7 linked regions of the Oryctolagus cuniculus genome follow. The main gene of each other region encodes a partner of the protein of the gene in region 5 in a complex. Links are inferred from orthologs where the notes say so. Each region holds a gene or a part of one and is shown on either strand. Other genes may lie near its edges. The genes, in order: CWC27, GPKOW, CRNKL1, LSM4, SNRNP40, USP39 and TXNL4A.

What was found.
Region 1: SNRNP40 (region 5) and CWC27 share a complex: the UniProt entries of both Homo sapiens proteins name them as parts of the minor spliceosome. The link is inferred for Oryctolagus cuniculus from reciprocal best matches to the Homo sapiens genes SNRNP40 and CWC27.
Region 2: SNRNP40 (region 5) and GPKOW share a complex: the UniProt entries of both Homo sapiens proteins name them as parts of the minor spliceosome. The link is inferred for Oryctolagus cuniculus from reciprocal best matches to the Homo sapiens genes SNRNP40 and GPKOW.
Region 3: SNRNP40 (region 5) and CRNKL1 share a complex: the UniProt entries of both Homo sapiens proteins name them as parts of the minor spliceosome. The link is inferred for Oryctolagus cuniculus from reciprocal best matches to the Homo sapiens genes SNRNP40 and CRNKL1.
Region 4: SNRNP40 (region 5) and LSM4 share a complex: the UniProt entries of both Homo sapiens proteins name them as parts of the U4/U6-U5 tri-snRNP complex. The link is inferred for Oryctolagus cuniculus from reciprocal best matches to the Homo sapiens genes SNRNP40 and LSM4.
Region 6: SNRNP40 (region 5) and USP39 share a complex: the UniProt entries of both Homo sapiens proteins name them as parts of the U4/U6-U5 tri-snRNP complex. The link is inferred for Oryctolagus cuniculus from reciprocal best matches to the Homo sapiens genes SNRNP40 and USP39.
Region 7: SNRNP40 (region 5) and TXNL4A share a complex: the UniProt entries of both Homo sapiens proteins name them as parts of the U4/U6-U5 tri-snRNP complex. The link is inferred for Oryctolagus cuniculus from reciprocal best matches to the Homo sapiens genes SNRNP40 and TXNL4A.

What each region holds. Positions count from the first base shown.
Region 1 is NC_091445.1:85,773,957-85,777,456, forward strand, and holds part of CWC27 (spliceosome-associated protein CWC27 homolog), read left to right. Parts: intron 1-1,123; coding exon 1,124-1,236; intron 1,237-3,449; coding exon 3,450-3,500. UniProt on the Homo sapiens protein: As part of the spliceosome, plays a role in pre-mRNA splicing. Probable inactive PPIase with no peptidyl-prolyl cis-trans isomerase activity. As a component of the minor spliceosome, involved in the splicing of U12-type introns in pre-mRNAs.
Region 2 is NC_091453.1:34,249,268-34,252,381, forward strand, and holds part of GPKOW (G-patch domain and KOW motifs-containing protein), read right to left. Parts: intron 2,882-3,114; coding exon 2,772-2,881; intron 2,033-2,771; coding exon 1,807-2,032; intron 406-1,806; coding exon 273-405; intron 1-272. UniProt on the Homo sapiens protein: RNA-binding protein involved in pre-mRNA splicing. As a component of the minor spliceosome, involved in the splicing of U12-type introns in pre-mRNAs.
Region 3 is NC_091442.1:44,666,546-44,670,045, reverse strand, and holds part of CRNKL1 (crooked neck-like protein 1), read left to right. Parts: intron 1-665; coding exon 666-824; intron 825-1,271; coding exon 1,272-1,438; intron 1,439-3,500. UniProt on the Homo sapiens protein: Involved in pre-mRNA splicing process. As a component of the minor spliceosome, involved in the splicing of U12-type introns in pre-mRNAs.
Region 4 is NC_091447.1:65,592,636-65,595,312, reverse strand, and holds the end of LSM4 (U6 snRNA-associated Sm-like protein LSm4), read left to right. Parts: intron 1-30; coding exon 31-72; intron 73-294; coding exon 295-393; intron 394-1,391; coding exon 1,392-1,575; intron 1,576-1,758; coding exon 1,759-1,850; 3' UTR 1,851-2,177; downstream 2,178-2,677. UniProt on the Homo sapiens protein: Plays a role in pre-mRNA splicing as component of the U4/U6-U5 tri-snRNP complex that is involved in spliceosome assembly, and as component of the precatalytic spliceosome (spliceosome B complex).
Region 5 is NC_091438.1:141,074,675-141,078,876, reverse strand, and holds the start of SNRNP40 (U5 small nuclear ribonucleoprotein 40 kDa protein), read right to left. Parts: upstream 2,801-4,202; 5' UTR 2,736-2,800; coding exon 2,592-2,735; intron 708-2,591; exon of another isoform or gene 571-707; intron 1-570. UniProt on the Homo sapiens protein: Required for pre-mRNA splicing as component of the activated spliceosome. Component of the U5 small nuclear ribonucleoprotein (snRNP) complex and the U4/U6-U5 tri-snRNP complex, building blocks of the spliceosome.
Region 6 is NC_091433.1:117,025,007-117,028,506, forward strand, and holds part of USP39 (ubiquitin carboxyl-terminal hydrolase 39), read right to left. Parts: intron 3,292-3,500; coding exon 3,066-3,291; intron 419-3,065; coding exon 341-418; intron 1-340.
Region 7 is NC_091441.1:283,671-287,705, forward strand, and holds the start of TXNL4A (thioredoxin-like protein 4A), read left to right. Parts: upstream 1-1,235; 5' UTR 1,236-1,376; intron 1,377-1,989; 5' UTR 1,990-2,009; coding exon 2,010-2,162; intron 2,163-4,035. UniProt on the Homo sapiens protein: Plays a role in pre-mRNA splicing as component of the U5 snRNP and U4/U6-U5 tri-snRNP complexes that are involved in spliceosome assembly, and as component of the precatalytic spliceosome (spliceosome B complex).

The sequences.
Region 1 (3,500 bases), on a different chromosome or scaffold from region 5:
TCGTATTCAGTCAAACTCGAGTTCTTGCTCCCCACCAAATTCTTTGCTTCACTGAGATGCCATGCTTTCTGCCATATCCAAGTTAACTTCTTTCTTCTCTATCAAGACTTCCTAATGATTCTAGAGTCCAGATACTCATACTACAGGAGATCATATATAACCTATCCTGTATGTTTATGACTTCTAAATTGTATATTTATATATAAATGTAAATAATTTCATTAATTTAGCAAACAGATTTGTAGTCTAATTGGACTCACATATATATTATGTTAATTATTTACCTTGTTTAGTAAAAGTTTCTTGTGGAGAGTGCATTGATGGTGGTAGACCTACAATCTGAATAATTTTGATATATTGTGTGTTTGTTTGTTGTTTGCATATTAATGAATTAATTCTCCACGGAGTGAAGAAAAGAAGTAGGAAATAAGAAAAGCAGGAAACTGGATCAGCAACAAAGTAGCCAGGGCTCAAACTGGCACTCCCATAAGAGGTTCAGACACCCCACACAGTGGCTGAACCTACTGCACCATAATGCCTGCCTCTCTGATATTTCTAACAATTTCTTTTATAACTATTTTCTTAAATTCAGGATTCAATAAAATATCACAGATTTCATTTGCTTGATATGTCCCTAGTTGTTGTTGTTGTTTTAAATATTTATTTATTTATTTGAGAGGCAGAGTAACAGAGAGGGAGAGGCAGAGAGAGAGAGAAGTCTTCCATCTGCTCATTCACTCCCCAGTTGGCTACAGCTGCTGGAGCTGGGCTCATCCCAAGCCAGGAGCCAGGAGCTTCTTCCAGGTCTCCCACATGGGTGCAGGGGCCCAAGGACTTGGGCCGTCTTCTACTGCTTTCCCAGGCCATAGCAGAGAGCTGGATTGGAAGTGGAGCAGTCGGGACTTGAACTGGTGCCCATATGGGATACCGACACTGCAGACGGCAGCTTTACCTGCTATGGCACAGTGCCAGCCCTGATATTTTTTAAGAAATAGGAAAAATAAAGTATTGGTTTGGGAGCTGAAGAAAACCAATCTTGGATCAAGTTGTATATTAGCTCTGACAATGGTAGATGGGCTTGATTTTAGATATTGCTAAATTATTTTTGGTTTTTTTTTTTCAGCTTATTATGACAACACCATTTTTCATAGAGTTGTACCTGGTTTTATAGTTCAAGGAGGAGATCCTACTGGCACAGGGACTGGTGGAGAGTCTATCTATGGAGCCCCATTCAAGGCAAGTGAGCTTGGAATGCTTACTCAAAAACGATGTGTCCCTTAAGAAAAAAAATTCCAAAAAGAAATGTTAGTATGCAAAATCAATGTCTGTCACATATTTAAGATTACACAGCATAAGAACAACACTTTTCCCATCAAGCATTCTTTGTAAGTTGTCTTAATGTAAGATTTTATACTAGAATTAATTCAGGGGGAACTCAAGGAGGTAGTGAAAAAGACATGGTTCAGAATAAAGATAGAGTATTTCCTGATGTCTGTCTGTATTGAATATCTGCAGCTCTGTAAATGAAAGCATTTTTTAAACACTGCATATGCTATTCTACTTTAAGTTTTATGTAAACAGTATCTGGAATCTGTAGTAGACTGCTCATCCTGCTATCACCAAATACCAGGCTGGATGGCTTCAACAGTAGGGTTTGTTTCTCATGGTTCTGAGGCTGAGAAGATCAAGCAGTGGTTCGCGGTCAGGTCTGTTTTTCTGGCTTGCAGATGACTGCCTTCTCTGACATCCTCACAGTGGAGAAGGGAAAGAGAAGTCTGGAATCCCTTATTTTTATAAGGACGCAAGCATTATTGGACTAGGGGCCCATCCTTATGACATTGTTTTAACCTTTATTACCTCCTCACGGACCAAAATATAAGTGACATTGTGGGCTAGGAGCTCAGTGTATGAATTTGGGGGTTACACAATTCAGCTCACAGAAGAATATATTCTAAATCATGCACAATAGATCTCGCGGCACAAAATGCACACCACAATTGAAAAATCACAACAGGAAAAGCAACATAAAAAGTGTTAGAAAAAGATACATTAGGAATAGGTCAGTGATTTCTTAACTACCAACAAATCTTAGAAGAACAATGAGGTAATGTCATAGTTAAGATAGAAAGAACTGTGTGTTCAAGTGAAAACTAAAATTTGTGTTCATTATTAACTGCTGGTACCTGTATCATGTTCTTTGAATGAATGAACATCAAAAGCTCTTAGAATTTAGAAGTTTTTGAAAACTTCATATTTCTGTTAATGGGGTAGAATGTCTGGAGTTTCCTTTCTTCTCTGAGTTACTGTGTGAGTCTTCAGAAAAATACTTTATGAATTGTTTGCTTTAATTTCCAGATGATAATGGCCTTAGGAAATAGGAAATGATTATGAAAAAATTTAGATGTCAAGTTAGCCTATTTATATTTACCAAAGTAAAATGACTCATAGTTTTAGAGCCTCTGTCTAGTAGGAAGCATTCCTTTATTCTAGTATTTGGTGTAACAGAATAGCTTTTTTTACAATTCCTTTCTGATTAATTTTTTGCTTTTTTATTTTCATATACTACAATTATTTTGTTAAATTTTTATGTTAGGTAATTTAAAATACAGTATATAGAGTAATGATTCATTGAATTCAGATCTCTTTGAGAATTAACTTATTAAGGAAAAATAACTTCATTTATGACAAGCAGTGATTACATTCATGGCTACATTATACATAATGCAAAATCAGGTCTGGATGGAAATTCTGTGTACTCAATCTTAGCCAAAAGGCCTAGAACCATTGGATATTCTGTAAACAAAGTGGCTTATGTATGTGTTAAGTAACCCTATCATGCAAGATAACCATCTTAGAAAGGCTTGCTCCTGCCCTTTCGGAAACTAGCAGATTGGACCAATGCCAGTTCAGAGAAGATTCAGCTTAGGGCTTCAGTGAAGTCACAGTGAAATCATTTAACATAATCAGAATAAATTCCTTTAATTAAAAAATGAGAAGAAAGCAATTGTTTTACGACATTTATAATGAGATGATGACTATTACCTGAAGACTCTGCAATGACTCAACATTGTTTTCTTGAAGAAAAAAAAGATTTTAAAAGCTTGGATGGTTTTGAGGGATAATAATAGGGAAGTGAATCTTAGAAATCTACTCCCAAATGAATACCCTTCCCCTGCATGTTAGTAGACAGCTTTCCACAAAATATGCTGATCTGTGGCTGAGTATGTCTAGAATATACTTATAGGTTAGTGATTTCTAGTTTAAGTGCATTAAAAGTATAAATATTAGACTTGATTACACTTAAAAGTCAGTTAAATTAAACTTATCATTTTTGTTAGTATTTTGAGATTTTGTTAGTATTTTGAGATCTTACTGGTCAGGTAAATAATCAATTGAATTTGAAATATCTTATAACTGAGAACATTCTCTAAATATTTTTTGTACCTCAGGATGAATTTCACTCTCGGTTGCGTTTTAATAGGAGAGGACTGGTTGCCATG
Region 2 (3,114 bases), on a different chromosome or scaffold from region 5:
CAAAAAATCCCACCTGTTTCTTTTCCTTCTGAGAAAGGCTAAAAACCCAGGGATACTAGATCGACTTTTTTTTTTCTTCCCCCACTGAAATAAACCACTCAGATCTCTTTTTGCCTCCTGACCTCTGGCAGGAAATCCCAGCCACCAGGCAGATGGCTACCCTCCCCTCTGCAGATGGAAAACCCATTGCAAGACACAGGCCCTGCCCCTCCTGCCCCAGAGCACTTCTCCCTTCTCTGCCTCCCCTCCGGGGATTCAGGAGGCCCACTCACTGAGATCCATGGAGTTCTCATCATGCTCCTGCTGGGAGACAGGGCGCAGGCAGTACTCACTAACAGTCACCACAGAGTTCTCCCCTGTCAGACGCACCATGGCCCGAGCATTGTCAGGGTCAAGGCCTTCAACCTACCACGTCAAGAGGAAGAAGTTAGCGAGGTTAAGTGGACTCCACCCACATTCCTAGGACCAAGCTGTCCATCTCTTACCTCCAACACACCTGACCCCTGTTTCACCCACCGACTTGTGACCCCCTAAAAGCTGGGACCGGGTCTGGTTCTTGGGTGGGGTACAGACATTTTTTATGTATTTAATCCTCAGAGACTCGTGATGATTGCTATTCACTCCTTTTTTCATTTTTAAAAAAAGATTATTTGGAAGAGAGAGAGAGAGAGAGGAGAAGACAGATTTTCCACCCACTGGTTCACTCCCCAAATGGCTGCAATGACCAGGGTTGGGCCAGGCTGAAGCCAGGAGCCAGCAGCTTCATCAGGTCCCCCACGTGGGTACAGGGGCCCAAGGTCTTGGGGCACCTTCTGCTGCTTTCCTAGGCACATTAGCAGGGAGCTAGATGGGAAATGGAGCAGCTAGGACTGGAACTGGTGCCCTTATGGGATGCCAATGCTGCATGCCAGGGCTTTAACACCCAGTGCTACAGCCCGAATCTTCCCCCCCCCTTTTTTTTAAGATTTATTTATTTATTTGAAAGTTAGAGTTGCACATAAAGAAGGACAAGAAGAGAGAGAAAGAAAGAGAGAGAGAGAGAGAGAAGTCTTCCATCTGCTGGTTCACTCCCCATTTGGCCACAACAGCCAAAGCTGCCCTGAGCCGAAGCCAGGAGCCAGGAGCTTCCTCCAGGTCTCCCACGCGGGTACAGGGGCCCAAGGACTTGAGCCATTTTCCACTGCTTTCCCAGGTCATAGCAGAGAACGTGATCAGAAGTGGAGCATCCAGGCCTCGAACCAATGGCCATATGAGATGCTGGCACTGCAGGTGGCGGCTTTACCCACTATGCCACAGGGCCAGCCCCCTAACTCCCTTTTGTAAATTAGCTTTTTAATTTATTTGAAAGACAGAGAGCTATCCCATTTGCTGGTTAACTTTCCAAATGCCCACAACAGTTGGAGCTGGGGGCCAGGTCAAAGCCAAGAGCTGGGAACTCAATCCGGTGCTTCCACATGGGAGCAGGGCCCCAGGTAACTGAGCCATTAGCTGCCACTCGCCAGGGTGGGCACCAGCAGGAAGCTGGAATCAGGAATGGAGCCAAGCCTCAAACCCAGGCACTTCCATATGGGCATGCCAAGTGGCGTCTTAATTACTGCACCAAACACCTGCCCTGCTCCCTTTTCATTGGCACCTGAAGCTCAGAAAAACCTAGCAAGTGGCCCTGCCGTGTTACCTAGTGAAGCAGTGTGCCAGGCAGGCCTAAAAGACCTGGACTTCCAGCCCTTTTACCCCAAACCCGATGCTTCCTGCCTCCGACCCTCAAATCCATCTTCCTTGGTCTCCAGGGACACCCTGGCTCCTTACCTTCCCGTAGCGGCCTCGGTAATGGCCAGAAACGACCGTCACAGCTGTCCCCGTCTTCAGCCCTTCGGGCTGCCTTGTCGTATCCTGCCCGTCATCCTGATCTTGGTCCACATTTGTTCTTGGAAGGCAGCTGGAACTGGTGGAGGTCAAGGCCTTCATCTCAGCCAGGTTGGCGCCCAGCCCTAACCCCTTGGGCCTCAATGAGTTGACACGGGGCTTCACTATTCTGCGTGAAGGAATATGGATTTACTGGGGACGGGATACAAGCACCTTCAGTGGCTTCCTCTCTCCCCTGCTAAATCCTACCCCATCGAATGTTCAAGAATGCCCTTTCCAATCTCTCACTTCGGATTGTTTTGGACCTACAGAAATGGAACTTCATTTGTTTCAACTTAACACCATGCTGCATACACTACATATTATACAGTATCTACGGTGGCATCTGAGGCAGGCCCTCATAACCAAGCATTTCCTTGTAACCTTCTATTTCCACAGCAGAAATCATATGCCCGGTCAGGCCAGACAGGAGAAACAGGCTATAAGAACGCTCAATGCCAATGCAGATCATGTTCGGCTGCCACATGGTTTGTGAAAAATTGTCTGCTTTTCGAAATTCATTGGAGTTTCCAATTGTGGAGAAGGGATTGTAAGTCCGTGTGATAAAAGCAGATACTTAGCCTGTGCTTACTTGGGGTGGGGGCCTATTCAATGTGCTTTATGGGTATCATCTCATCAAACTCTCACGAGAGGCCTGTGAAGTCCATCCTGTTACCCCCACTTTTCAAATGAGGAATTGGAAACAGGAGTGGAAGAGGCTACTGAATTAGGGGAATAATGTATCCTCTCTCCCTGCCTGAAGGGTTCTGGGTTGGCAGTCACCATGGGGTGGTGGCGGCAGGGGGCGGGGGGGGGCGCTTGTTCACAGCTCCATCCGTCCACCCCGTCACCCTTAGCCCAAAACTCACTGACTGAAAGTGCGTCCAATGCCATCACCAGGTTTCCAGCCCATACCCCGCAGCATGGCCAGTCCATAGGCCTCCACAGAGACTGCCTCATAATCAGCTTCTTTTGGTACCTAATGGGTTCAGGAAGAGGAAGGAGCGTCAGATTTTGCAAACACTGGCTTTCTATGCGTGTGAGTATGTGCATCTGAGAGGCAGACGCGCGCGTGCACATGCACACACACACAGAGAGAGAGAGAGAGAGAGAGAGAGAAAGAGTATGAGAGCTCCCAGCTGCAACTAGGCTGGGCTGAAGCCAGGAGCCAGGAAATCAACCCACTTGATAGGCAAGAACCCAACTACCCAA
Region 3 (3,500 bases), on a different chromosome or scaffold from region 5:
TAGTAATGTCCAACTTTCGTTTCCTGGAGCCCTGCGGTTCCTTCAAAGGGGCTTGAGGGGCACTGTGTTAGTATGGTCTGGGGTGAATGGCAGGCGGAGGTTGTAAGGTGTAGCATTCACTCTGTGTCTAATTCTATTTATTGAAAATTTGAAATAAAAATGTTCCACCCAGTACCAGTGGTGAACAAGCTGAAAATCACGACCTGGCCCTTGTCCAGCCTTTCCATACCCTCACAGCCCCTGCTTGTGCTGGGCCTAAGTTCTCAGCACACTCTGAGCACATCATTTCTCCTTGCCACGTTACTTTCCAGTTCTGTGTGCCTGGGAGGAGCACACCTTCCCACCAGCCTTGTCCTGGTAAACTCGGCTGTCCTCATGTTCTCCGTTCTGGAGTTACCTCCACTTAGCTCATTCAGCAGACATTGCCATTTCTGTGTCTGCTTCCTCTGCAGGACTCGACTGTGACCTGCATTGTAATCACACACGTGTTTATCTTTCCATAGATTTTGTAAGCTATTTGAGAACACCATCTTTTCGTTTTTTTATGCCCCAAACCTGACTTACAGTAAACACCCAATAAAACATCAGGGCATTGCCGGTAGCTTGATGTAACTGCCATGCATTGTCTGTTCTGCTTCTGAGACCCTCACTTCTTGCCTCCTCAGGGCTCGCTCCATATACGAGCGTGCTTTAGATGTGGACTACCGAAATATTACGCTCTGGCTGAAGTATGCAGAAATGGAAATGAAAAATCGCCAGGTCAACCATGCCCGTAATATCTGGGACCGGGCCATCACGACTCTGCCCAGAGTCAACCAGTTCTGGTAAGTCCTGATCTAGCAGAGCAGCCTCTCAGACTGGAAAATGCTGTTGTGTTTGTTTTACTCACACAGTTTATTGTTTAGATTAATGTTGCAGTCTACTTTTACTTTAAACATCCTGTAAGAGCTTTATAATGCCTTATAGTTTATTAACTCATAATCAAAACGTTTAATAGCTAATCACATGTGATCAAAACTAAAGTGCTAATTGCAATCATTTGTGCCTAAAAACTTCACATTTAACTAGCAACTTTTAAGAAAAAAATGTTTTCCTAATAGTTCATCTTGTTCAGATTTATATTTCATTAAGAAAATGTTTGCATTAACCGTTAGGAAAGATAAAACCTTAAGTTTTTTCATTAAATAAAGGGAGAACTAGAAATTGTCAAAGATGGTGTTTGCACTAAGACGCTTGGAGTACAACAGGTGTCTTGGGTCACTGTGTTGAAGGTACAAGTACACGTACATGGAGGAGATGCTGGGGAACATTGCGGGTGCTCGCCAGGTGTTTGAGCGCTGGATGGAGTGGCAGCCCGAGGAGCAAGCCTGGCACTCCTACATCAACTTCGAGCTGAGGTACAAAGAGGTGGAGCGGGCCCGCACCATTTATGAACGATATATCCTTTGGATGAGCTCTGAGTGGTGCACTGCCCTGGGGGCAGCTCTTGTCATGGCCGGGACACAGAGTCGTTAATGGGAAGTTCCAGATCCTCAGACTAGAACCAGCGCCCATATGGGGTGCCAGCGCCGCAGGTGGAGGATTAACCTAGTGCACCACGGCGCTGGGCCCTAAACCCATCTTTAAAAACACAAGTCTCACGGCCGGCGCCGCAGCTCACTAGGCTAATCCTCTGCCTGCGGTGCCAGCACCCCAGGTTCTCGTCATGGTCGGGGCGCCGGATTCTGTCCCGATTGCTCCTCTTCCAGGCCAGCTCTCTGCTATGGCCCAGGAGTGCAGTGGAGGATGGTCCAAGTGCTTGGGCCCTGCACCCGCATGGGAGACCAGGAGGAAGCTCCTGGCTCCTGGCTTTGGATCAGCGCAGTGCGCCGGCCGTAGCGGCCATTTGGGGGGTTACCAACAGAAGGAAGACCTTTTTCTCTGTCTCTCTCTCTCACTGTCTAGCTCTGCCTGTCAAAAAAAAAAAAAAAAAAAGTAAAAACATAAGTCACAGACAAAACAAAAATATAATGAATTCCTTAAACTCCTATTATGTTAAATTTGGAGGCAGCTTTAGACTTTTCCTGGTGGTCACCACTCACTGAGTTCTTCTAATAGGTAATAACAACTCCAGACAAGCAGCCTGTGTGTATTCCTAACACTTCACTTACATTTAAGGCTAGAATAAGCCCCAAGTAAAACAGTGAAGATGTATATAGAACTGGTAGTTCTTACATGATTTTAAATCAAGATACATGAATTTAATGTACTTTAATGTAGGCAAACTATCCATTTCTTGTCCACTTAACTGTTGTGAAAATAGCATCCCTCTCCTACACACTGATTTCTTGACCCAAATGGAAATACTTAACCTAAGGTCAAGATGGGAGAGAGATGACTAAGATGAATGTCCATGGCTGGCGCCACGGCTCACTAGGCTAATCCTCCGCCTGCGGCGCCGGCACACCGGGTTCTAGTCCCAGTTGGGGTGCTGGATTCTGTCCCGGTTGCCCCTCTTCCAGGCCAGACTTCTGTTGTGGCCCGGGAGTGCAGTGGAGGATGGCCGAAGTGCTTGGGCCCTGCACCTGCACGGGAGACCAGAAGAAGCACCTTGCTCCTGGCTTTGGATCGGCGCTATGCGCCAGCCTTAGCACACCAGCCGCGGTGGCCATTGGAGGGTGAACTAACGGCAAAGGAAGACCTTTCTCTCTGTCTCTCTCTCTCACTGTCCACTCTGCCTGTCAAAAAAAAACTGCAGGGGCCAGCACTGTGCCATAGCAGGTAAAGCCGCCACCTGCAGTGCCAGCATCCTATATGGGCGCCAGTTTGATTCCCAGCTGCTCCACTTCCGATCCCGCTCTCTGCTATGGCCTGGGAAAGCAGTAGAAGATGGCCTAAGTCCTTCTGTCCCTGCACCCATGTGGGAGACCTGGAAGAAGCTCCTGGCTTTGGACCGGCACAGCTCTGGCAATTGCGGCCAACTGGGGAGTGAACCAGAGGATGGAAGACCTCTCCCTCCCTCTCTCTCACTCTCACTCTCTGTCACCCTGACTTTCAAATAAATAAATCTTTAAAACAAAACAAAAAACCCTGCAGAGCAGCTTTAGGACCAGTGCCCTTAACACCTTTTGCCATGTGTAAATGTACTACTTTGGAAATCAACGACTTCTTCAAGGAAGTGAGATTAAAAATAGTTATGTTCTGTTAGATAAAGTGGCAATGTAAAACATATTCCTTTGGCTCTAGTTAGCAGTGTTATTTTTGTGGCTTGTTGTTTCTTCTTTAGTTGTTAGCTCAAATAATTTTTTTAAATTATTTAAAGGGAGAGGGAGAGGGGTGGGGGTGGGAATGTATTTGCTTCCATCCACTGGTTCACTCCACAAATGACTGTAATGGCTGGGGCTGGGCCAAGCTCAAGCCAGGAGCCTGGAACTCCATCTGGGTCTCCCAAGTGGATGTGGGGGCCCAGCTACTTGGGCCATCATCCACTTCTCTCCCTGGCACATTTGCGGAGAGCCAGA
Region 4 (2,677 bases), on a different chromosome or scaffold from region 5:
CGCACAGTCCCTGGCACGCTTGCCTTTCAGCTTCCCCTGTCGCTGCTGAAGACGGCGCAGAACCACCCCATGGTGAGTGTGCGGGGGCCCTCCCGCCCTCCCGTGCGCAGCCCTGCGCCCGCAGCAGCCGGGAGCTCCCTCCAGTCCCCCGCGTGGGTGGGGGGTGGGCGGCAGGGGGCGCAGGGACTTGGGCTGGGGTGCGCACGCGCGGGAGGTGGTCCACGGGCCTCGCGGGGTCGCAGGGCCAAGCCGGGCCCCCCGGGCGTCTACACCTGCGGCCCCGACTCCCGGCAGCTGGTGGAGCTGAAGAACGGGGAGACGTACAACGGGCACCTGGTCAGCTGCGACAACTGGATGAACATCAACCTGCGGGAGGTGATCTGCACGTCCAGGGTGAGGCCCGCGCCGCCCCGCCCCCCTGCTGCCCCGCCCCGTGGGCGTCACCCGGCCAGCAGGAGGAGGGCAGTGCCCCCACCGCCGGGACCTACCGGGTGATGTGGGAGGGGCGGGGCGGCTCCCCAGGACCCACTGAGGGCCTCCCCCCGGGCTGTGAGCCCCTGCAGACCCCGGGGTGGCCGCCAGGCCTGGGCTGCCCCGCCTCCCGGTGGGAGGTGCTGGGTCAGACCCCGGGGTGGGGTGGGGTGGGGTGGGAGGGACCCGGCGCCTCCCCAGGGTTGGCTCAGCCCCCGGGCCCTGCTTCCAGATCCCCGGCGCCCGCGGGGAGGAGTGACGTCCCGGCCTGTCCTTGGCCACTGTGGAGCCAGCGTGGCGCTGGAGCTGGGCCCCATGGGACCGCCCTACTTGTGTCTGGCTGGCCTTGGGGTCCCCACTGGGAGCCCGCCCTCAGCGGCCTCGGCCGGCGACGCCCACCCAGCCGCCCGGGGAGCAGCTGACCGGAGGGGGGGTTCTGGCCGGGAACAGCGCCTGCAGGCACCGTGCGGGGCTGGTGGCCAGGGCGGGGCCGGTCCCGAGCTGTGTGGACCTTGTCCCTGTGCAGGGGCCCGGGCGGGGGTGTGGCCGGGAAGTGCCAGGATTGCATCTGTGGGACAGGGGCACACAGGGCTGTGGGGTGGGGGCGGGGCGTGCTGGGGGTGCCCCTCTCGGCCCACGGCACCGGTCACTGCCCCGCTGGGCCGTGGCTCCGTCGGTGCCCTGCTCAGGCCCAGAGACAGCTCTAGAAGGGGGGCTGTGGGCAGGGGGAGTGGGGGGTGGGAGAGACCCAAGCAGCCTCACTGGGGGCGGGGCTTCCTGGCTGCCCAGGGGCCAGACAGGCCCTGCGCGGGGGGGGGGGGGGGGGGCGCCCGGGGGGGGGGCGCCCCCCAGCCTCGGCCCTGGCCGCAGCTCAGGGACCCTCCGCCGGGCCGGGCGTTGACGCGCTGCCTCCGGCCCAGGACGGGGACAAGTTCTGGCGGATGCCCGAGTGCTACATCCGCGGCAGCACCATCAAGTACCTGCGCATCCCGGACGAGATCATCGACATGGTCAAGGAGGAGGTGGTGGCCAAGGGCCGCGGGCGCGGGGGCCTGCAGCAGCAGAAACAGCAGAAGGGCCGCGGCCTGGGCGGCGCCGGGCGAGGTGCGGGCAGGGCTGGGCGGGGCGGGGGAGGTGCGGGCGGGGGGGGGGGAGCGGTGCTCCCCTAGGCCCTCAAGCCCTGGTCCTGGCCAGTGGCGGAGCCCCTGTCCTCCCTGGGCCCTTGTCCCGGCCCCCGCCGCACAGCTGGGGAAGCTGAGGCCAAGCCGCCTCTGTCCGTCCCTGCAGGTGTGTTTGGCGGCCGGGGCCGAGGCGGGATCCCAGGCACTGGCCGAGGCCAGCCAGAGAAGAAGCCGGGCCGGCAGGCGGGCAAGCAGTGAGCCGCGCCCCCCGAGACCGAAGCCCTGCCCCGCTGCGGGACCCTCTCCTTCCGGCCGGGCCGCCTCGCCCCCCCCCCCAGTGTGGACACCTGTGTGGTGGTGTTGGTTTTGTGAAGCCCCCGCCCCGAGGCCGGCCCGGCTCCGTGGATAGCTCCGTGGATAGCCCGGCCTGCACCTGCTGGCACGGCCCAGGGCCGGCCCCTCCCGCACGGCGACAGGCCCGCGGGGGCCGTAGTGTCGCCTTCCAGACGGAGTGGACGGGGCCGGCCCATGCGCCTTTGCTTCCATTTCTCTGTGTTCTGAAAATAAAGCCCAGTCCAGCCTCAAGGCCCCTCGGCTTGCGTCCGCCCTGCAGCCCTTGGGCCCCAGGAGACCACATCTGGGGGCCCCGACCCGGCCTGGGGGCTCCACAGGGGCTGGGGGGGTCTCCCGAGCTCCTGGCCCGGCTTGTCCTGCGGCCCCTCCCGTCTTGATAGAGAGTCGGGGAGGGGGCACCCTGGCTGGAGCCACTGTCCGGCCCGCTGCCCCCTCTCTGTTTTCCCACCAGGTGTCACCTTGGTGATCGCCCCCCAACCTCAGGGGGGGCAGGGGTTCCGGTCACGGCCGGGGGGGGGTGACGCAGGGGAGGCCTGGGTCCCCGCTTGGGCGTTCTCCGGTCACGGCCGGCCGAGGCCCGTCTGGAGGGGCGACAGCATTGGAGGGACGTAAGTGCAGCCCCCACGGCTTGGGGCTCCCGGCTCTGCGGCCCACAGCTCCGTGGTGGCGGCGTCTTAGGGGCCGGCGCCGTGGCTCAGCGGGTGAAGCTCCGCCTCGACCCCCCAGGACCG
Region 5 (4,202 bases):
TAGGCCATGGAGGAAAAACACCAGGGTAACAGTGACTGAACAGGTTTTATTATTTAGAGAATGGCAGCTTTGCTCTCATGCCTCCAATATGACACTCTCCTCAACTTCCAAGTATCTCTCCCTCATCCTGCTCTTGTTCCAGTCAACTTCTGATTGCTCAGATCTTAAACTCATATTGGCCTTGGGATTTTTATACTTGCAATTGCCTCTGGCATGAATTCATGCTCCTTAGATCTGGCTCCTTTCAAATATTTCCTCTTTCAAAAATCTTTCCATGATAACTCAAATTTAAGTAGCATCCCACCTTCTACCTAAAATTCATGAATTCCACTGCATTCTAGTACAATAATTAGCTTTAAGTGAAGTTATCTTCCCCATGTATTTGCTCGTATATTTGTCTTTCCCCTCAGAGAAATGAAGCTTGATGAGTATAGGGATCCTGCCTATGTGTCTTGACACTGTTTTCTCAGTCTCTGGATCATTTAATGAATGACTAGACTGATCTTCCCAACAATCTGAGGGTACAGATTATTAGGCAAAGTCGTATTTATTTATTTATTTATTCTTACACATTGTGCAACCTACATCAGTGCTCACAGTCCACATACAAGGAAGCTGGGCAATGGTTCGAGGCTGCCATTTACTCTGGCATGGGTACACTATGAGAGGCCCACAGAGAAGGGCCCACCATAAATCCATTACCATGCTCCAAAGTAGTATTTATTTACCTTATTTTATTTGGAAGGCAGAAAGGTATATACACAGAGATGGGGGGGCAAAACTCCCATTCACAGGTTCATTTCCCATATGCCTGTAAGTTGGTAACTCAATCCAGGTCTCCCACATGTGTGGCAGGAGGCTGGATTGAAAACGTTGAGTACAGACACCCCTATGTGGGATGTGGGCATCCCAAGTGTCACAAAGCTGGCCACCTGTGTGTTTTTTAAATTTTTAATTTATTTGAGAAACAGAGCTCATTCTCTTCTGCTGGTTCACTCCCCAAAGGATTGCAACAGTTGGGGCAGGCCAGGCCAAAACCAGGAGCCTGGAACTCAAGTTAGGTCTCCCATGGGGGTTGCAGCGTCCCAACTATTGAGCCATCACTTGGTGCCTCCCAAGATGCGCATGAAGATGGTATTGTAGTGTCAAAATCAAAATGGAGTGAGATGGCTAAAAGCTAACTGCAGATCTCTTGCTTCTGTACATGTTAGCTTTGCCTGCTAACGGCTAAGGGTGTATCTTGTGAAACTATGTGGGCCCAAATTCCCAGGAACTAGGTTGACAGAAATGTGTCCTTCACTGTTATCTTACAACCACATCTTGGATTTGTTACCAGGTTTGTTATTGCTAACTGTTATCTTACAACCATATTCTGGTTTTCTTTTTATTGTTCACTGTATACCAGAGGTTCGGTTGGAAATTGTGAGCCCTAGTGGACAGAATACTATAAAAAGCTGTGTAACCACTGTTGGGGGCCGTACTCTGGTAAGGAGTGTCAGACCCAATAGGTTACCGGTCCCGATTGGTTACCTTGCCTCTCACTTTCAATAAAATTCCTGTGTGACTGTCACTGGCTTTTCTAATATTCTGTTTTAGCTGATGAGTGGATGCAACAGTATCAGGAATGCAACTCGGAGTCAAACCCAATGGAAGCAATGGATCCTAAGCAGCACTTTCATTCCTATGCCAAGTGCCAGCCCCTGGACTTTGGTTTTTACTCTGAATGAATTGGAAAGCCACTGGAAAGTTTTCGGCAGAGGGCAAAGTGATCTGACATTTAGAAGAACAACTCTGGCTGCTGGATTGTTAACAGACTGTCCCTAAGACGGCAGAAACAGGAAGCCCAATGAGGACCACACAACAGTCATGCCAGACCAGGAGACAGGGATGGAGGCCGTCAAAGTGGTAACAATACCGGATATATTTTGCGGCAGATGCCACAAGGATTTGGTTTAAGAGTTGAGAGGCCAATATCACGAGCAAAGCGGGAGAGGTGTGCTCCCTGTCTCTATCTTACAAGAAATGGAGTGAAGGGCATGGATTCCGAGTTCAACATCTAGATAAGAGTTTGTTTTCCCGTCTGCAAAATGGGGTAACAGTTCCTAACCCACAGGCAGTTACAAAGATTAACGGAGATTTCCTATACAAGGCATCGGTACAGGGATCCTTGAATGTTCGCTATCACCCAGCTGTTGTTAGTAACATTACCGCAGAGAAACAAGGGCTAAGTAGCTTGCCCAGTATCCCGATCCGAGTCAGCATCATCTACTTCCCGCCCTCATTCATTCGTCCACCCACTCTACCAACTTCTTCGTGGATGCAGGACGCCCAAGATGGGCCCGGTCTCAGCGGTGGGCCCAAGATTAACCCCAATTCCATCGCTCCCTCCCAGGGCAGACGAGACGAACAAACGGACCTCAAACGAGGAAACGTGTGGGGCACCCGCAGGGCTCCGGGCGCTCTTACAACGTTTAGCTCCCTGAACTCTACGTAGAGCCCCCTGTCCCCCCAGTGCCGGACCGCCCAGTGCAGCGCTCGGAGGGAGCAGGAAGATGAACTGCGGGCCCGACGCCGCGTGCCACCGCACTTACCGCTTGCAGCAAAGCTCCCGGCGTTGCTTGCTGCTGCCCTGTTCCGGGGCCCGATCCCGCCGCTCCCAGCAGCAACTCATGGCGCTGCCGCTTGACTGGGACCAGCGGCAACTCTGGGCCTTTTCGTTTCTGCTGTTCTATCATGGCGGCAGACGCTTTCCTCAGAGCCGCCACTGACCACACCGACAGCTCTAGGCGCCGTGCGATTGGTTCCGATTTTGTCCTTCCTCCAGGACTTCCTGTTTGAATGAACCAATCGGCTTCCAGCATTCCCCGCTGCAACGCCCTCTGAATAGTCTCTTGTTATTGGTCATAGCCTTCTGACGCCACGGGAGCGTGATCTCAGGATTGGTGGGTGGAGCTGGCGTCCCGCCTAGGCGCGCTGTGTCTTGTGGGTGGGAACTGGCTGACTGGGTTTGGCGTTTCGCGCGATGCCGCGGCTGGGAGACCTGAAGCTGACGCTAAGTGAGTATGAGGTAGCTGAGGGGTAGCTGATGGCTCTAAACTGGAGCCGACGCCACAGCCTTGCGGCCTGAGCCTGCCTTTCAGCCGAAGGTGTTGCTAGCAAAGGGCGGGGGGCGGGCCTCGAATTCTCAGCTTTGGTAAATATTCCCTTTACCGCGCAGAAGTGGAGCTTTGGAGTCCCTGACGGCAGGTCGCAGACGGCGCCGGATGCCTGGGACCCTGCACCGCTGCCTTGATCGGCAGGCGCCTGCTGCGGCCAGCCCTGGGTCAGGCGTTCTTAGGGGGGTAAGGCTCGTATCCCCGCCGCCGCCAGTGCCTGTGTGGCCGAGGAGGCTGACGTGTGTGTGTGCCTCTGATTCTGCAGTCTTTTACTAGGGCCTGCTCCATGCCCCGCGAGAGGCAGTGGCGACGGACATGTCCGGCTCCTTCTCCAGATCGTGGTCTTGTTGAAGAAATTTGACATATAATACCTGTGAACCTGGGCCTCGCGGTTGTCCGGCTTAGCATTCTCTCTGCCTAGCGTTGAACCTAACGCAGTCCCCGATCTCAGGGCTTCTCAGTGTGGTGGGGATAACAGATACCACACAACGACCTCCCTGATAAACGGAAGTGCTAGGGGAGAAGTCTGATGCTGCGAGTGCCTGAAATGAAAAGGCTTTTCTGAGCAAAACGTGCCTGTGCTGCTGTCTACAGGCAAGGAGTGTAGCTGGGTAGAGAGAGGAAGGCAGAGCACTTTATTTGGAGCAACAAGTGCAGAGGTTCTGTGTCGTTTGGAAGGAAAGTGACAAGGGCACAAAGAGCCAGTGTGCTGCTACGGAGGAAGTGAAGGGGAGTACGGTACAGGGTGAAGCTGGAGGCTGTAGAGGCTGTGCAGGAATCTGTCCTTGTTCCTTTCAGACGGGGCTGGGAAATCGCTGAGGATCCTTTCTGGGGAGCAGGGCCTGGCGGAGGAGTGGCAGAGGTGGCTTGATCCCTCAGGCTTCGTGGTGTGAGCAGATTGGGATGGGAGGGACCCTAGTGGATGCAGAAAGGTCACTTACGAGGATGTACAGAGATGCCGGTCAGAGATGTCGTCAAGGAGAACTGAGGGAGCCGGGCATCTGCGGAGAATTGGGCAGATTAATCTAGAGCTCGAGGTAGGGCTTG
Region 6 (3,500 bases), on a different chromosome or scaffold from region 5:
CTCTGGCCTCCTATATCAATATTCTTTATATATATATTCCTATCATCCACTATGGGGCCCTCGTCAGGGCCTGTGACATGATATCTGGGTGTTCAGCATCCAAAACTGAGCTAAAAAAATTTATTTTTTTTACAATGTTGGCCTGCCTCAAGAATTTCATTACATTATGAAAAAGACTAACATAAGGCCTATTCAGGAAGAAAATTTAGCCTGTGTGTACGACAGATACCCTCCCCCCCTGCCCCCACAAGATAAACAGTTAAGAACAAAAGAATGGAAAGTTGCAAAGTTTTTTAAAGGGAGCTAACAAGAGCTTCTTTGTACAAGCAGCATGACTTACTCTTCTTTTTCTTCTTTGTGCCCCCAAGAGCTGAGTGCAGAGCATTCAGGAACCAAGACAGGAAGTCGACTCCATCGCCTGGAAAAAAGGAAAGGTGGCACACACTGAGGCTGGCAGTCATTCAGGAAACCCACACCACGACTCCGTGACTCCATTCCTGGATTTGCTCCTTCCTCTCTGGCCACATCACCCTGGTCCTGTTTATCCTCCTGTCTGAACACTTACTGCTGGCGCTCTTCAAGGTCAAGCTGTCGCTCTTCCAATCTTTCCTCTCTCACCAGGCTCTCTGAGCCACACTAGCATGTTCAATTTTCATCTCTAACCCAAATTGAGTCTCATTACCCAGGGACGGCCAAAACCAATGACCAACAACTTCTCCAGGGTAAGCTCAGGCTTCTGTGTTCTTTTCTCTAGCTGACAAAGATTCCTGTCTCAAATGGGAGAAATTATTTGCAAATTATGCAACTGATAAAGGATTAATACCAGAATCTAAAAAGAGATCAAGAAATTCCACAACAACAAAACAAACTTACTTAAGAGATGGGCCAGTGACTTAAAGTGACATTTTTCTTTTTCTTTCTTTTTTTTTTTTTTTTTTTTTTTTTAACAGGCAGAGTGAACAGTAAGAGAGAGACAGAGAGAAAGGTCTTCCTTTGCTGTTGGTTCACCCTCCAATGGCTGCCGCGGCTGGCGCGCTGCGGCCGGCGCACCGCGCTGATCCGATGGCAGGAGCCAGGTACTTCTCCTGGTCTCCCATGGGGTGCAGGGCCCAAGTACTTGGGCCATCCTCCACTGCATTCATGGCCACAGCAGAGAGCTGGCCTGGAAGAGGGGCAACCGGGACAGAATCCGGCGCCCCGACCGCGACCAGAACCCGGTGTGCCAGCGCCGCAAGGCAGAGGATTAGCCTAGTGAGCCGCGGCGCCGGCCTAAAGTGACATTTTTCAAAAGTGGGAATCCAAATGGCCAACAGACACATGTTCAGGATCACTAGCCATCAGGGAAACGCGAATCAAACCACAATGAGGTTTCACCTCACCTGGGTTAGAATGGTTTTCATACAAAAACCAACAAGCAACAAATGCGGTAAGGATGTGGGGGAAAGGGTACCTGAATCCACTGTTTGTGGGAAGGCAAACTGGCTAAAGCCACCATGGAAGACAGTTCGGAGACACCTCAGAAATCTGAATATAGCCCTACCATACGACCCAGCCATCCCACTCCTTGGAATTTACCCAAGGGAAATAAAATCGACAAATAAAAGAGCTATCTGCACCTCCATGTTTATTGCAGCTCAATTCACAATAGCTTAGACATGGAATCAACCTAAATGCCTGTCAACAAGACTGGATAAAGAAATTATGGGATATATACTCTATGGGATATATACACTATGTTTGTGTGACAACATAATTATCATGCCCAACAATGCTGTGACAGGAGAAACTGGGTAAGCTTATTCTTTGGCCACCCTGATTTTCCAACCAATGATGTTTTAGCTTTCCAGTGTTGTCGAAAGCTGGGCAACTCCAGCATCCACCCTTAGGCCAGGAGTCATCTACGGAGCACTGTGAATGCAGTGCTGGCCCATCAACAGCTCAGAAAAAATCTCTCCACAAAACTTTCATACCTGATGCAGCCTTAATATGAAAAGCCGGGACTATGGACAGAACTGGTCCAGGTGTTGCGTCATGGCAAGTTAAGCTGCCAACTACAGAGCCAGCACCCCATACGGACGCCAGTTCAAGTCCTAGCTGCTCTACTTCTGATCCAGCTCCCTGCTGATGCATAGGGGAAAGCAGCAGAGGACGGCCCAAGTGCTTAGACCACTGTACTCATGTGCAAGACCCAGAAGCAGCTCCTGGCTTCAGACAGGCCCAACCCTAGCTGCTGCGGCAGTTTGGAGAGTGAACCAGTGTATGGCAGACCTCTCTCTGTCTCTCCCTCTCTCTCTGTAACTCTGCTTTTCAAATAAATAGATAAATCTTAAAAAAAAAAAAAAAAAGGTTAATACCCTAGCCATGCTAGCTGTTGGAATTCAATGGTCCTACACAGCTTGGTTGTCACCTGGTCACAGGGCAAGGTGTTCTCAGAGGAACATTTTACTGCTATCTTGTAAACTCCCAAACACCATCAATAGCCATGCCATAACAAAAAGGGTCTTCAGAAAGTTCACAGATGATGCATATTATGAAAACATCATACAGATTTCAAATATTTTTGCATCCAAATAAATGTATTGCTTAGTTCAATCAGAGAGAAGTGAGGAACCTAACCATGCTGTACATCAGTCACTCATTTGGCTACTATCAAGATTCACTATTAAAAGTGAAAATAGGGGTCAGTGCTGTGGCGTAGCAGGTAAAGCGGCCCCCTGCAGTGCCAACATCGCATATGGGCTCCTGTTCAAGTCCTGGCTGCTCCACTTCTGATCCAGCTCTAGCTATGGCCTGGGAAGGCAGAAAATGGCCCAAGTCCTTGGGCCCCTGTACCAGTGTGGGAGACCCAGAAGAAGCTCCTGGCTTCAGATTGGCTCAGCTCCAGCCGTTGAGGCCATTTAGGGAATGAACCAGCAGATGGAAGACCTTTCTCTCTGTCTCTCCCTCTCTTTGTCTGTAACTTTACCTCTCAAATAAATAAATGAATCTTTAAAAAAAAAAAAAGTGAATAAATTTGTTCATTAAACTAGTTTTGTTGTCAAAGCAACAGGAGTGACCGTTTTTACCTTGTTTGGTGATCTGAAAAGTCTTCTTGCTGCAAAGGACAACAGCCTGAAGCATCTCGTGGGGAGAGACATGTGCCTTGAAATTTCGGGGATTCCAGAGCTTTCTCATCAGCTCCCCAAAACGCTGGACCAATAAGAACATGATATCCCCTGGAGGTCGCTTGATGTTCTTATAATTGTCTTCTTCCAAGAAGTAATTCCGGAGAGGAGGAACATTAGATAGTGCCTGCAAATAGAATATTCCAATTAATCCAAAGCCCTCTGGAGAATCCTATTCAGAACATCCTTCCCACTGAATCTGGTAGGAAGCACAGTTCTATGAAGACTGTGCTGATGTGGGTATCACAAAGGAATTTGTAAAAAGGTATTCAAATCTCCAAGCATTGAACAATTTATTTAATAATATCCTTTCTTTGGGGCCGGCGCTGTGGTGCA
Region 7 (4,035 bases), on a different chromosome or scaffold from region 5:
GAGGACAATGAGATCGGGAATACGCATCCCTCGTGCCCCCAAACGTGTTTACTTCCTCTTCTATATCCCCAAAGTGCCGCGGACAGAGCCTGAGAGCTACGAATTTTGGAAAGCCAGCTTGGCTTCTTTCTTAGGAACGAGAAGAGTAGTCAGGGGTGAGGACTTCCGATACCAGCAACCCCCATGGAGTGCTGGTTCGAGTCCCAGGTGCTGCACTTCCAATCCAGACTTCCTGCTACTGTGCCCCGGGAGGCAGCAGCAGGTGGCCCCAGTGCTCCTGGCTCCCGGCTCCAGCCCGGGGCAGCCCTGGCTGCGAGGCCGGAGAAGGAATGAACCAGAGGTTGGAAGATCTGTCTCTGATAAATCACTCAATCTCGGGCCAGTGCTGTGGTGTGGCGGGCTGCCATCCCAAATGGCACCAGTCCGAGTCCCGGCTGCTGCACTCCGGATCCAGCCCCCTGCTATGGCCTGGGAAAGCGGCGGAAGACGGCCGAGTGCGCGGGCCCTGCACCCGCGTGGGAGACCTGGAGGAAGCTCCTGGCTCCAGAGGGGCCCGTCTGGGAGTGAACCGCGGGTGGAGGCTCTCTCCCCTGCCTCTCGGTCTGCAACTCTCTCAAACGAATAAACTTACAAAGGACAGACTGGGACGTAGGGAGGGGCTCCGTGGGGCACAGGCGCTGCCCCCGCCCCGCTCGCACCCGAGAATTCCGACTTCGTCCTCTAACCCTTGGGGCTAGCCTTGTCTCAGAACGCAGAATTGTTTCTGCTCCCGACGCCGCCCGCCCGCCCGCCCGCCCGAGCTCTCCCAGAGCTGAGCCCCGACGGGCGCCGGCCCTCGCGGAACGTTCTGCATTAGCAACTTCTCCCCTCAGGGCGCGGCCGCAGCGCCGGGGCTCCGCGACGTCACGGCAGGGCCGGCCACGGCGCTCACGCGTGGGCCGCTGCCGCGCGGCCGCCAGCCCCGCCCCGCGCCATCACAGACCGGAAGACCGACTGAGGGAGCCCCGGTCGCTCTTCACACGTCACCTGGAGCGACGTCACGGTGACGCCACGCGCTCCCGCGGGAGGCGACCAGGCTGTCCGTGGCGGGAGCGAGCGCCGAGGACGGCGACCGGCCGGCGCGCGCTGCTGGGCCAGGGAGGCGGACACCAGGGGCCAGCCCGTCCGGTCGCGTCCGAGCCGAGCCGGACGAGCACGCGACCGGGGGAGCACGCGGGGCCCGGGACGGCCGCGCCCCCAGGGCCGCCGCCCATTGGCCGCCGCCGCGCGCCGCGTCCTGACGCACGCCGCACGCACTGCGTCGAGAGCGCGCACGTAGGCGTCGCGCGCCCGCGCTGTAGGTGCTGTGGTTCGGGAGACTGTGGTGTTGCCGGAAGGTGCGTGGGGACTCCGTGGGCTCGGCGGGCTGCGGGCGGGCGGGGCGGGGGTCTCGCCAGGCACTCGAGGGCGGTCTGGGCCGGGCGGGGGGCTCGCCGGGCGCTCGGGGGCGGCCTGGGCCGGGCGGGGGGCTCGCCGGGCGCTCGGGGGCGGCCTGGCCTGGGCGGGGGGCTCGCCGGGCGCTCGAGGGCGGCCTGGGCCGGGCGGGGGCTCGCCGGGCGCTCGGGGGCGGCCTGGGCCGGGCGGGGGGCTCTCCGGGCGCTCGGGGGCGGCCTGGGCCGGGCGGGGGGCTCGCCGGGCGCTCGGGGGCGGCCTGGGCCGGGCGAAGGGCTCTCCGGGTGCTCGGGGGCGGCCTGGCCTGGGCGGGGGGCTCGCCGGGCGCTCGGGGGCGGCCTGGGCCGGGCGAAGGGCTCTCCGGGCGCTCGGGGGCGGCCTGGGCCGGGCGGGGGGCTCGCCGGGCGCTCGGGGGCGGCCTGGGCCGGGCGAAGGGCTCTCCGGGCGCTCGGGGGCGGCCTGGGCCGGGCGAAGGGCTCTCCGGGCGCTCGGGGGCGGCCTGGGCCGGGCGGGGGGCTCGCCGGGCCTCCAGGCGCTGAGCGAGACGCCGCCCCGCAGGCGTCGTCCCCGTGCCCGCCATGTCGTACATGCTCCCGCACCTGCACAACGGCTGGCAGGTGGACCAGGCCATCCTGTCGGAGGAGGACCGCGTGGTCGTCATTCGCTTCGGACACGACTGGGACCCCACGTGTATGAAGATGGACGAGGTGCTGTACAGCATCGCGGAGAAGGTAGGCGGCGGCTCCCGGGAGAGGACTCAGGCCGGCTGCGCGGCCCCTGCCCCGAGCGTGCGCTTCCGTCTCCGGGGCTGTGTCCATGCCCCCCACCCCTGCCTCATGTCTGTGTCCAGGCCCCCCACCCCTGCCTCATGTCTGTGTCCAGGCCCCCCCACCCTGTGTCTGTGTCCAGGCCCCCCCACCCTGTGTCTGTGTCCTGGCCCCCCACCCCGTGTCTGTGTCCAGGCCCCCCACCCCTGCCTCATGTCTGTGTCCAGGCCCCCCCACCCTGTGTCTGTGTCCTGGCCCCCCACCCCTGCCTCATGTCTGTGTCCATGCCCCCCTCCCCGTGTCTGTGTCCATGCCCCCTTCCCCGTGTCTGTGTCCAGGCCCCCCACCCCGTGTCTGTGTCCATGCCCCCCACCCCGTGTCTGTGTCCAGCCCCCCCACCCCGTGTCTGTGTCCATGCCCCCCCTCACCCTGTGTCTGTGTCCTGGCCCCCCCACCCCGTGTCTGTGTCCAGGCCCCACCACCCCGTGTCTGTGTCCAGGCCCCCCACCCCTGCCTCATGTCTGTGTCCAGGCCTCACGCCCCATGTCTGTGTCCAGGGCCGCCCCTCCAACCCCGCATCTGGCCCCACCCGCCTCTCTGTGTCTGGGTCCCCCTCCCTGTGTCCGGCCCCTCCTCCTGTGCCCAGGGACCTTCTCAGGGTCAGGTTGTTGAGGTTGCTGCCGCCCTCGCTGGGACCTTCCTGGGCTGACCGTGAGCAGCTGAGGGAGCGCGGGCCTGATACTTTGTTCACTTGCTGGGGTTTGGTTTGTTCTTCAGTATTTATGTGAAGGGCAGAGTTAGAGTCAGGGCCTGGGCAGGTCAGGGGCTGGGTGGTGCTTGCTGCCCGCCCAGGCACATCAGCAGGGAGCTGGATCGCGAGTGGAGCAGCCGGGGAGACTTGAACCAGGGTCCATGTGGGATGCTGGTGTCACCCACAGCTGCTTAACCCGCCCTCGGTGTTAGAATCAGTACCCAGGTGGTCTGGGCTCGTCTGCTGACGTAGCAGTGCGCCTGTAGGGCAGTACTGTGTACTCTTGTGTTCTGTGTAAATAGGACGGTTTTAGGGAACTTATTTGGCAGCACTGTTAAGTGTTAGTAAAATATTTAATGTTGATGTTTCATAAATAACTTAAGTGAAGAGCGGCAGCAAAGCAGCCCTTTCTCGCCTGCCCTCCGTCGGCGCAGGGGTTCAGGGCCCCTTCCCAGTGCTGCCCAGGTTCTGGTGCTGTGGGCTCTTAGAGGCGCTGCCCAGGTTCTGCTGAGACGTGGCCTTGGGCCACACTCTCAGGAACCCCTCGGGGTCGGGCAGAGCGGGATGCCTTAGTTACCTGCCCTTCTGCCTGTCCCTCTGGGCTCCAAGAGAGCAAGGGCAGAGGAGTGCTGGGGAGCCGGGGCTGTGTCAGCAGCAGCACAGAGGTGCGCACATTCAGCAGGGAACCACTGCAGTGGCGGATGGGCACACCTGTCGTGTGGTCTGCGTGCCCTGTCTCCCTCGTGTCAGCTCCTGCTGCCAGCACGGTGCTCTCGGCTGGGAACAGGTGGCCGTGGCTCCTGGAGGGGCTCAGGGACCTTGCTGGATTTCTTTCTAACCTGTTAGTTAAGGACTGAGTCTCGTTATTAGTGCACACACACTGTGTGGTATCGAACCTGTTCATTAGGACATCGTAACTGGGCTCACTTCTGAATTTTTATCTTTGTTTTTTTTTTTTTTTTTTTTTTTTTTTTTTTTTTTTTTTTCAAATTTTTATCCAAAAATTGGGATTTTTGATACTTCTTTTTTTTTTTACAGGCAGAGTAGACAGACAGAGACAGAGAAAGGTCTTCCTTTTTCCAATGG